Linked DNA regions of Oryctolagus cuniculus. The main gene of each other region encodes a partner of the protein of the gene in region 3 in a complex. Links are inferred from orthologs where the notes say so. Each region holds a gene or a part of one and is shown on either strand. Other genes may lie near its edges.

Evidence for each region.
Region 1: the proteins of PPP2R2A (region 3) and PPP2CA are in contact, whole or in part, in a cryo-EM structure (PDB 9C6B), measured with the Homo sapiens proteins. The link is inferred for Oryctolagus cuniculus from reciprocal best matches to the Homo sapiens genes PPP2R2A and PPP2CA. Residues at the interface, in NP_002708.1 of Homo sapiens: Tyr86, Leu87, Lys88, Ser89, Ala173, Asn174, Ala175, Glu190, Asn201, Leu202, Trp203, His204, Ile207, Thr208, Asp209, Arg210, Ser211, Phe212, Asn213, Ile214, Val215, Asp216, Met256, Ala260, Leu261, Asp263; in NP_002706.1 of Homo sapiens: Arg89, Tyr91, Val126, Tyr127, Gly128, Asp131, Arg135, Cys266, Tyr267, Arg268, Arg295, Pro298, His299, Val300, Thr301, Arg302, Arg303, Thr304, Pro305, Tyr307, Phe308.
Region 2: the proteins of PPP2R2A (region 3) and ARPP19 are in contact, whole or in part, in a cryo-EM structure (PDB 8TTB), measured with the Homo sapiens proteins. The link is inferred for Oryctolagus cuniculus from reciprocal best matches to the Homo sapiens genes PPP2R2A and ARPP19. Residues at the interface, in NP_002708.1 of Homo sapiens: Lys18, Gly19, Ala20, Asp23, Asp24, Asp29, Ile31, Thr45, Asp47, Gly49, Arg51, Val53, Phe55, Val73, Thr76, Gln78, Glu81, Pro82, Glu83, Phe84, Leu87, Lys88, Ser89, Glu91, Glu93, Tyr178, His179, Asp197, Leu198, Asn221; in NP_001293124.1 of Homo sapiens: Lys42, Pro43, Gly44, Ser46, Phe48, Leu49, Arg50, Arg52, Leu53, Lys55, Lys58, Tyr59, Phe60, Asp61, Lys75, Pro93, Asp97, Leu98, Pro99, Pro103, Leu105, Val106, Ala107, Ser108, Lys109, Leu110, Ala111.

What each region holds. Positions count from the first base shown.
Region 1 is NC_091437.1:22,493,115-22,495,638, reverse strand, and holds the end of PPP2CA (serine/threonine-protein phosphatase 2A catalytic subunit alpha isoform), read left to right. Parts: intron 1-108; coding exon 109-227; intron 228-1,139; coding exon 1,140-1,212; 3' UTR 1,213-1,946; downstream 1,947-2,524. UniProt on the Homo sapiens protein: Catalytic subunit of protein phosphatase 2A (PP2A), a serine/threonine phosphatase involved in the regulation of a wide variety of enzymes, signal transduction pathways, and cellular events.
Region 2 is NC_091443.1:75,215,610-75,218,974, forward strand, and holds part of ARPP19 (cAMP-regulated phosphoprotein 19), read right to left. Parts: intron 2,604-3,365; exon of another isoform or gene 2,427-2,603; coding exon of another isoform or gene 2,412-2,426; intron 2,315-2,411; coding exon 2,192-2,314; intron 1-2,191. UniProt on the Homo sapiens protein: Protein phosphatase inhibitor that specifically inhibits protein phosphatase 2A (PP2A) during mitosis. Inhibition of PP2A is enhanced when ARPP19 is phosphorylated.
Region 3 is NC_091433.1:47,876,519-47,880,175, reverse strand, and holds part of PPP2R2A (serine/threonine-protein phosphatase 2A 55 kDa regulatory subunit B alpha isoform), read left to right. Parts: intron 1-157; coding exon 158-335; intron 336-1,468; coding exon 1,469-1,633; intron 1,634-2,484; coding exon 2,485-2,654; intron 2,655-3,657. UniProt on the Homo sapiens protein: Substrate-recognition subunit of protein phosphatase 2A (PP2A) that plays a key role in cell cycle by controlling mitosis entry and exit. Involved in chromosome clustering during late mitosis by mediating dephosphorylation of MKI67.

The DNA.
Region 1 (2,524 bases), on a different chromosome or scaffold from region 3:
GTGCCAGCCCCTTAAGACTTGTGTGGAAGTAGAGACGTCTTTTTCTGTTCTGAGTCACATTTAGTTGTATAAAGGATTAAAGTTGATTTTAATTTCTTTTCCATTTAGGGATATAACTGGTGCCATGACCGAAATGTAGTAACAATTTTCAGTGCTCCAAACTATTGTTACCGCTGTGGTAACCAAGCTGCAATCATGGAACTTGATGACACTCTAAAATACTCTTTGTAAGTGTTCACGCCCAGTGTTTCATCGCCATTACTGAATATTTGGTTTTACTGGGACATTTAAGGGTTTGTACAATCATGTTAAATTTTAACTTCTTCTTGGGACTTATAATATATTGAAACAGTACAGTAGAAACTAATATATTGTACACAGATCATAATATGAATTATTAGAGTTTTAACTTTTAAGATACAGTTCTTTAGTTGCATTAAAGTTTATTTAGTTGGCAGTCTCTCAAACCATCTTAGCAGGAACCCTAGTTTTTTTTTTGTTTTTTGTTTTTTGTTTTTTTTTAAGCAGAAACCCACTCTTAAGGAATATTGTTCTTAGGAAAATTATAAATTTTTTAAAAATATTTACTTATTTGCAAGTCGGAGTTACACAGAGAGAGGAGAGGCAGAGAGAGGGAGAGAGAAAGGTCTTTGAGCTGCTAGTTCACTCTCCAATTGGCTGCAATGGATGGAGCTGTGCTGATCCAAAGCCAGGAGTCAGGAGGTTCTTCCGGGTCCCCACAAGGGTGCAGGGGCCCAAAGACTTGTGCCATACTCTACTGCTATCCCAGGCCATAGCAAAGAGCTGGATTGGAAGTAGAGCAGCCCAGACTTTTCATCCCAGGGGGGATGCCGGTGCTTCAGTCCAGGGCGTTAACCCTCTGCGCCACAGCTCCAGCCCCAGGAACCATAGTTTGTAAAAGCATCATTTTTGTGGCTGAAGTTGCCCGGGCTCTTTGCAGGAAAGTGCAGTTAGAAGCTCTTTTGACTGCATGATTTAGGTATAGGTAAGCTCCTGTTACATGAGACTGACCTAGAATGGAATAGGAAAAAAATGTAATGTTTAAAAATGAATGCCAGTGATTTGGATTGCTAGTGCATGGCTGTCAGAATGTAAACAAGGAATCTCTTGTTTTTCAGCTTGCAGTTTGACCCAGCTCCTCGTAGAGGCGAGCCACATGTTACTCGTCGTACCCCAGACTACTTCCTGTAATGAAATTTTAAACTTGTACAGTATTGCCATGAACCATATGTGACCTGATGGAAATGGGAAGAGCAACAGTAACTCCAGAGTGTCAGAAAAATAGTTAACCTTCAAAAAACTTGTTTTCACACGGACCAAAAGATGTGCCATATAAAAATACAAAGCCTCTTGTCATCAACAGCCGTGACCACTTTAGAATGAACCAGTTCATTGCATGCTGAAGCGACATTGTTGGTCAAGAAACCAGTTTCTGGCATAGCGCTATTTGTAGTTACTTTTGCTTTCTCTGAGAGACTGCAGATAATAAGATGTAAACATTAACGCCTCGTGAATACAATAACTTCCATTTAGCTATAGCTTTACTCAGCATGACTGTAGATAAGGATAGCAGCAAACAATCATTGGAGCTTAATGAACATTTTTAAAAATAAGTACCAAGGCCTCCCTCTACTTGTGAGTTTTGAAATCGTTTTGTTTCTTTTCAGGGATACCATTTAATTTAATTGTATGATTTGTCTGCACTCGGTTTATTCCTTTCTCAGATCTCACCCCTGTGTTGTTCTTTGTTATTGTCAGAACCTGGTGAGTTGTTTTGAACAGAACTGTCCCTCCCTCCCGTCTTGTAAGATGATGTTACTGCACAAGGGCACTGCAGTGTTTTTCATAATAAACTTGTGAACTAAGAACTGAGAAAGTCAGATTTTAATTGTATCAATGGGCAAGATTGGTGCTGTTTATTAAAAAAGATAATTGATAAATTTGTAGAATTCTAGGTAAAGAAAAATAAAAATCAAGGCCACTGCATAATCTCTGATAACGCCTTCATATTCTTCAGATTAACTTCCGGCTTTATTTGTGTTCCGTGTAATACAGTTTGTCAGATCACTGATGGGCTCTTTGTGGGTTCCTCCTGTATGTTAACTGGTCTGTATGAAAGAAAATGTGCACTGCTTTAGTAAGACGAAATCATGCAAGTTGATTTCATTTTGGAGTAAAACTTAACAAATTAAGGGTGTATCTGCACTGCGGTTTCTGGTTATAAATATTTTGCTGTATGTATTATATGAACTCTTGAAAATGGTTGGCAGATTGGTTCGTTTTTAACAAATATTTGTACATTATTTGTGGACTTTCTTGATCTTAAATTTGTCTCAGAAAGCTATTAACGTACTAACTTGTTAAGTTCTTTTAAATGGTATTAGTGAAACCGCATAGAAAATTATTGTTGGGTCATGGTTTAGTGTTCGTTGGGTCATGGTTCAGTGTCAGTGCACGTTCACCTGGAGAGTGGCACTTGAAGTGATAGCACTCAGCATTGGAT
Region 2 (3,365 bases), on a different chromosome or scaffold from region 3:
CTGGCTTCTGGCTTCAGCCTGGCGCAGCCCCAGCCATTGCAGCCATCTGGGGAGTGAGTGAGCAGATGGAAGATCTTTCTCTTTCTCGAACTCTTTCATAAAAATAAATCTTTTTAAAAAATCATTTTATTACGTCACTGTATGTGTGCCATACAAAGCAGTAGCAAGGAAACTTGGATCTGGTTCTTTGTAGGCTTACTGCAGCTTCATTTCTGCATTTTAAAATGGGTAGAGGAAAAAAAAAATCTAAGAACTTTTGATGCACTGTATTATATTAAGGAGCTGCTTCTGAGTTCAGTAGCCTCTGGAGAGCAAAGCAATCTGACAAAAGCACAAAGTGAGAGAGTTAACACAGTACAAATTTCAGGCAGATTCCCCGATGTAATACATTCAAGTTTCTGATGACAAGTAAGCAAAAGTTCATGAAAAGGGGATCTCATTTAACTGCAGATTAGACTACTCTGCTTAGGCAAAAGGAATTAAATCCACTTAGTGTGGCCTGAGAAAAAACTAAAACTAATGTTTGACAATTACAATTTCCCTAAAAAGAAACAAATCACTACAAAAGGCAGGGAATCTGCACAGAGAGATGAATAAAGACAACATGACAAAGATGTCAGAGAGAAAACTCAATGCTTTTAGGTAGAGTACTGAACTAGATTAATGTTTCTCATATTGAGATTCACAGATAAGAGACTACAATTGTCAATGTCTAAATTTTGTTCAATTTCTTAGTGAAGATATTTAAGAATTAACAAAACATTTTCTAGCTCATCTAGATGGTGATCTTATAAAAGTCTTCTTCCCTCAAAATTTAGAGGTTACACTTAATAATGGTATTTACAGCTGCCTTGATAGCAGCTGCCCTGGGACTTCACCAATTCCACAAATACAATACTATATAATCCAACCCTCTCAGATGACAACAAAACTAAAGATTCTGAGGTAATTTGTCAAGCTTGCTAACTATTCTGATAAAAGAAAACATAAACATAGGACCCTATAGTTCATATTTTTAAAAAACTCAAAATTTTATTTCAATCCTATAAAAGGATTTACTGACATTCTGGTATAATACAAATAGCAAAGAGAAATAGTTTTGTAAACACTAATAATCAAATCAGAAATCCAGTAATTTAATAAAGATTATATAATTTATTTCATAACTGGTACATTTATATTTGCATAGCTAGACCCAAAATTAAATTTTCATTCTGCTTTTTCTACTTATCCCTTATGACCTTTCTAACTCCAAAAATATTTAAAACTACCAAATACTGACTTACCACAATTAATTTAACCATTTCTTTGCTGTTGATTAGTGTTATTGCTTTTAATTATACTTAAAGCTATAAAAAATCTCCAAACTTAAAAATGTTTCTTCATATTGACTTATACCCTTAGATATTTCATAAAAGATTACTCAGAGAAAGTGAACCTTTTTGTAAATTCTGCTCCATACCCCTTCTGAAAGTAGAAGTAGTAATTTTAAATGTTTAAACACAATAAAGAACGCATCAGTGTCACTCAATTTCAACCTCCACAGGTATTTTTTAATATAAAATCCTGCATCCGAGAGCACTGTGTTCTTGTATATTTTGAAGTTCTCTTTTATGCATTATAAATTTTAACTTTCGTTTTTGTAATATTTTCCCTCTGCATTACATGTCACAACAGCACATAGGCTTTACATTTTATTTTTGTTATCATTTCTCCCTGTCATCTCATGATTTCAAAACTGTGAATGTCATTCTTTCATATAAGAGAAAAACACTACCCACTCTTTTTTTTCCACTTTAAAAATAATTAGTTCTTTTTGGATTTGATTTGGGAAAATAATTCCTATATGATTACAGCTAGCACATTCACATTCTTGAAAGCAGCAAATACTAGTATTTCTAAGGCATTCAACTTAAGGATAAGTATGACTTGGAATCTCAGTCAATAAATAATTCTCTTTCATAAGTAGCATTTCATCCTACCTACATGCTTAAAATAGCTTTTAATTAACTGTTAAAGAATTACAGATTCCTACAGACATTTATGAAATGAACAGTGTAAAGTATTGAAAAAAAATTATACGCATACACACAAAGGCACAGATCTATACAGCCACACACTTGTTTTACAATCCCTGATGGTAATCAAGTTCACAGGGCTTAAGTATTTGAGATTACATGTGACAACTTACCCCTTTCTGCAATCGTTTCCTTAAGAAATCTGAACCTCCGGGCTTTTGTCCCAGATGAGGATACCTTGCTTTTAATTTTGCTTCTTCAGCTTTCTCTGGACTAGTCACTTTATCTTCCATTTCCTGAAATAATTTTAAATAAATTACTTCTCCGTTACAATTAGCTATTTAAAATAATTCACCTTTTACCAACTGGATACTGATTCTACTGGTCAAGTACCAAGAAACACAGCATCTGACTGAGAAACCCAGCACAGAAGCCTTTAAGTCATCTCTGTCTTGTTTCAAATGATCCATGTGATAGCTCTATTATAGCTGTGATGCATGTGTAACACCCCACACACTGGATAAAAATATCAAGATAGCTCAGCTCTGGAGTCTTGCTTGCCATTACTTTCCAGTCATGTATGACATATTTATAGTTAGTCACCTTCTATGGAACTCTTCAGCTCTTTGCCTATATTTAGATAATTATTCTAGCACTGTTAAAATCTGAAAGATCTGATTACCTGTTTATTCGAAGTTACACATGATTTGAAGCTCCTTAAGTCCTCATATATGTGTATTTTATTGCCTAATCTTCTGTTTAGAATGACAATTTCTGTTCATGTCAAAGATCCCATTCTTTAATACAGCAAAATTCTATTTTCTGACAAGAATGTAAATATCTTAAGCTTATTCACTTTTTTTTTTTTTGGACAGGCAGAGTGGACAGTGAGAGAGAGAGACAGAGAGAAAGGTCTTCCCTTGCCGTTGGTTCACCCTCCAATGGCCGCCGCAGCCGGCGCATCGCGCTGATCCAATGGCAGGAGCCAGGTATCCCATAGGGTGCAGGGCCCAAGCACTTGGGCCATCCTCCACTGCACTCCCTGGCCACAGCAGAGAGCTGGCCTGGAAGAGGGGCAACCGGGACAGAATCCGGCTTCCCAACCGGGACTAAAACCCGGTGTGCCGGCGCCGCAAGGCGGAGGATTAGCCTAGTGAGCCGCGGCAATGGCCAAGCTTATTCACTTTTGACACCAATCTTGATTTAGTTTAGTTTCTGTCAAAGGGTCATATTGTACAGGGAAGCAGTATTATTACTTTATGTTAAGTACTACAAAACAAAGAATAAATCAAGAAAAACAAAGCTTTCCTGTGAGGGCTAGGCTGGGCAGCTGGTAAGACACACTTT
Region 3 (3,657 bases):
AAGGAGTCATCATCAGTTCATTTTTAAAGCTAATCTATGTAATATTGTACCATTCTTTGTCCTCTCAAAAATTACAGTAATGAAGTGTTCTGAGCCTTATGTGCTATTTGAAGCAGTGAACCTTTTGTAATTTATTTTTCATGTGTCTTATTGACAGGTGCCAGTCTTTAGGCCCATGGATCTAATGGTCGAGGCCAGTCCACGAAGAATATTTGCCAATGCTCATACATATCACATCAACTCAATTTCTATTAATAGTGATTATGAAACTTATTTATCTGCAGATGATTTGCGGATTAATCTTTGGCATCTGGAAATTACAGACAGGAGTTTTAGTATCCATTTGTTTTCTTGTTTGACGGCATACTGTGCTCATGTTGGATTTATTTTTGTCTCTTTAATGTATTTGATTGCTCCTTTGTATGGTATCTTAGTATGTACATAATTAAACACTATAGGAAAGTTATTTGATAAAGGATAAAGAGTATAATGTATTGATGTAAAAATTAAATTCATGAAATTTTAAGGAATTTGGTGATTTGGGTTTTTATAATTTAGTGTTGAAATTTTAACTAAGAGTAATATAAATTTAATTATAAAAATATTCTTAAGATTGGAAAAAATTCTTACAAAGCATGATGTAGGATAATATAAAATTGATAGAAATACTTCTTTGAACTTCATTTTTATTATTTATATTATCCTCCTGGAAATTTTCTGTCCATATACATGTTCATGATGTTAACATGTAATTGGATACATGTATATAATATATAAGTATACAAGTGCCTACAAATACTTGTTTTTTTTTTTTTAATTTCTTTAAAATTTAAAATAAATGTTAGGAACTTTTAGTAGTTAATATGTATATTTTTGAAAATTAAATTGTTATTCTACCATCAGTGTATGAAAGACTTATTTTCTTATGCCTTTGCTATGAAGCTTTTAATTTATCTGCAGATAAATTGTAGTTCATCAGAAAATTTTCTTCTTGCATTATGAGTAGATTTGAGTATCATGTTTACTAGCAATTTATATTTCTTTTTGTTCTTTTTCTAGCTTTCCCCACTGTATTTCTCTGTGTTGTGTGTATGTGTGGTTTAAGCACCTTTTGGTGTTAACTAGGTGTATTGTTTGTGATGCAGGTAGTTTCTCTTTTTTACCCTCTTGGGGTTTTTGTTTGTTTTGGGAATTCTGTTAATACTTTAAAGGCAAATTTATAAATAACTTGTGGGATTTGTATGCTACATAGCCAGAAAGATCTTTACATTCTAAAGTGATTTAAAATTTGCAGTATTTTAGAAGATTTATCACTTTAGCAGTAAATTTTTAACTCTCTCTAGGGTTTATACTCGAGTAGAATGTAATTCCAGATAATACTTGTGTCTGGATCTGTGAGCGGATTTTGAGAAATGTAAAATTACATTTGCTTTTCTAAGTGTAAATTCCTTAATAAAATGCTATCCAGATATTGTGGATATCAAACCTGCCAATATGGAAGAACTAACGGAAGTAATTACAGCAGCAGAATTCCATCCAAATAGCTGTAACACGTTTGTATACAGCAGCAGTAAAGGAACTATTCGGTTATGTGACATGAGGGCATCTGCCCTCTGTGATAGGCATTCTAAATGTAAGTATTTCACTTTTCTTTAAAACGATGACACAGTCTATTTGTATGAAACTAACCTCAGACATGATGACTATATTTACAGAGGTTTACAGATCTTAACTTTTATACATAGGGCCTCTTTTAACCTTTATTAAACTCCCTAACTCTTCTTGGGGCATCACATGTTACTCCACTGAAAGAACATAGTAAGGCTCTCCGGGGGCGTTTCTTTTGATTCCCAATGAATATATTTTTAATGGAGTGCTTATTTTTAGGAACTTGAGGTTGAGCTTTTCAACTTTATCTTCAAATAGAGCCATTCCTTTGCTTTCATTCCCTCCCCATTCCTTCCTTTTCCCCTCTATTTTGAGCTTCCTAGGAATATTTGGTTCAGAGGTTTTCTTGGCTTAAAAAAAGCATTTGAAAACCACTCGGTTAAAAAGTTAAGGGGTTGCAGTATTCTGTTTGTATTATTGAATGTTTTTAAAACTCATGAAAATTTGGTGTGTGTGTATTAACTGAAACAACTTTATGTGGCCACCAGAAAATAAAATTGAGGTATGATTTGGATGAGTAGGATAGTGTTCTTCTTGTGGTGGTAGAGGTCAAGTCAGTTAAGTCTTGCAAAGTTGAGTCTGCCAGCCAACCTGGGGCACTGAAGACAGAAGCCCCAGCAAGTCTGGTTTTTAACCACATGACTCTGAAGAAGCTTTGAGGGAAGTTAATTGTTACAGCCAGAGAGGTATTTTTCAGTTCTTTATTAGCCTGTCATTTTATCTTGCTCTTAGGAAGTTTGTGAGTGGCTGTTTAAGGAAATGCTTTGTCTAAGCCAGAATATTGTACACGTTGCCGTTTTTTTTGCTTGTTTTTAGTGTTTGAAGAACCAGAAGACCCCAGTAACAGGTCATTTTTTTCCGAAATCATCTCCTCTATATCTGATGTAAAATTCAGCCATAGTGGTCGATATATGATGACTAGAGACTATTTGTCAGTCAAAATTTGGGACTTAAATATGGAAAACAGGCCTGTGGAAACATACCAGGTATTTGCAGTTTTCTCATTCAATGAGCATGTACCCTCTTTCATGTTTATAAAGAAGAACTTTGTACTAGGTGTACAAAATATTTTTTGTACTCACTATTCTACAGTTTTCACTGTTAGACATTTCCCCTCAAAGATCCAAGAGTGTGTTGCTTTTCCATATGTTAAATTTTGTATAACTTAAAAGATTGTGTTGTCATTCAATTTGCTGTTAACATATGATTTGGCTGTCATTTGATTCAAGAGTGTCTTTATTTTCTGCTGCGGTGTACATTTAAGGCAGAGAGAAAAGAGCATTAAAAACCAGTAAGGTCCAGGCAGGATGAGAATTGGAGAGAATGGCAGGCCTGCTTAGAGATGTGCATGCTCTGATTGGAAGATGTGCAGTAATCACTGAAGTGGAGCTTCAGTCTGGCATGCTGAGTTGAGTGAGCTCATTACTGGCTTTCATCTGATAGCTATAGTCTTAACATTTAAAGAACAAGGGTTTGAAAACCTAGCAGATGGCTAGCAGAGTTGCCTACTTGATCAATTTTAGGATGTCAGTTGTGAATTCTCTTGTCTTTCAGCTATTACCATTATTCCCTGTTCTCTGCTTCAGAAATAGAAAAGGAGTGAAAAAGCACACAATTGTCACTGAGTGGGAACAGCAGGAAGTTGTGTTAGGCCCTAGATTGGTGTAGAGAACACTTCACCTAGCCTTAGGAGTATGCAGTTCAGTTTATAGGTGATATCTTCTTAATGTGTTAGTATCTCAATAAAATTAGAATGAAGTTTCTTTCGAATCTCCTGTGATAAGCATAAACCACTCAAGATTCTTTTTAATGTTATTTGGAATTTCAAAGTAAATGCTACATTGAAACAAAAGCAATGAGATAAAATTCTGCTTTGTTTTCAAAGTACATTTGTGTAACTGCCAAGATTGATACATCTCCAAGTTATTCTCACCACCAACCTGTTGCCATTGAGAATAGTTGACTGGAATCTTAGCTTTCTACCCTTCA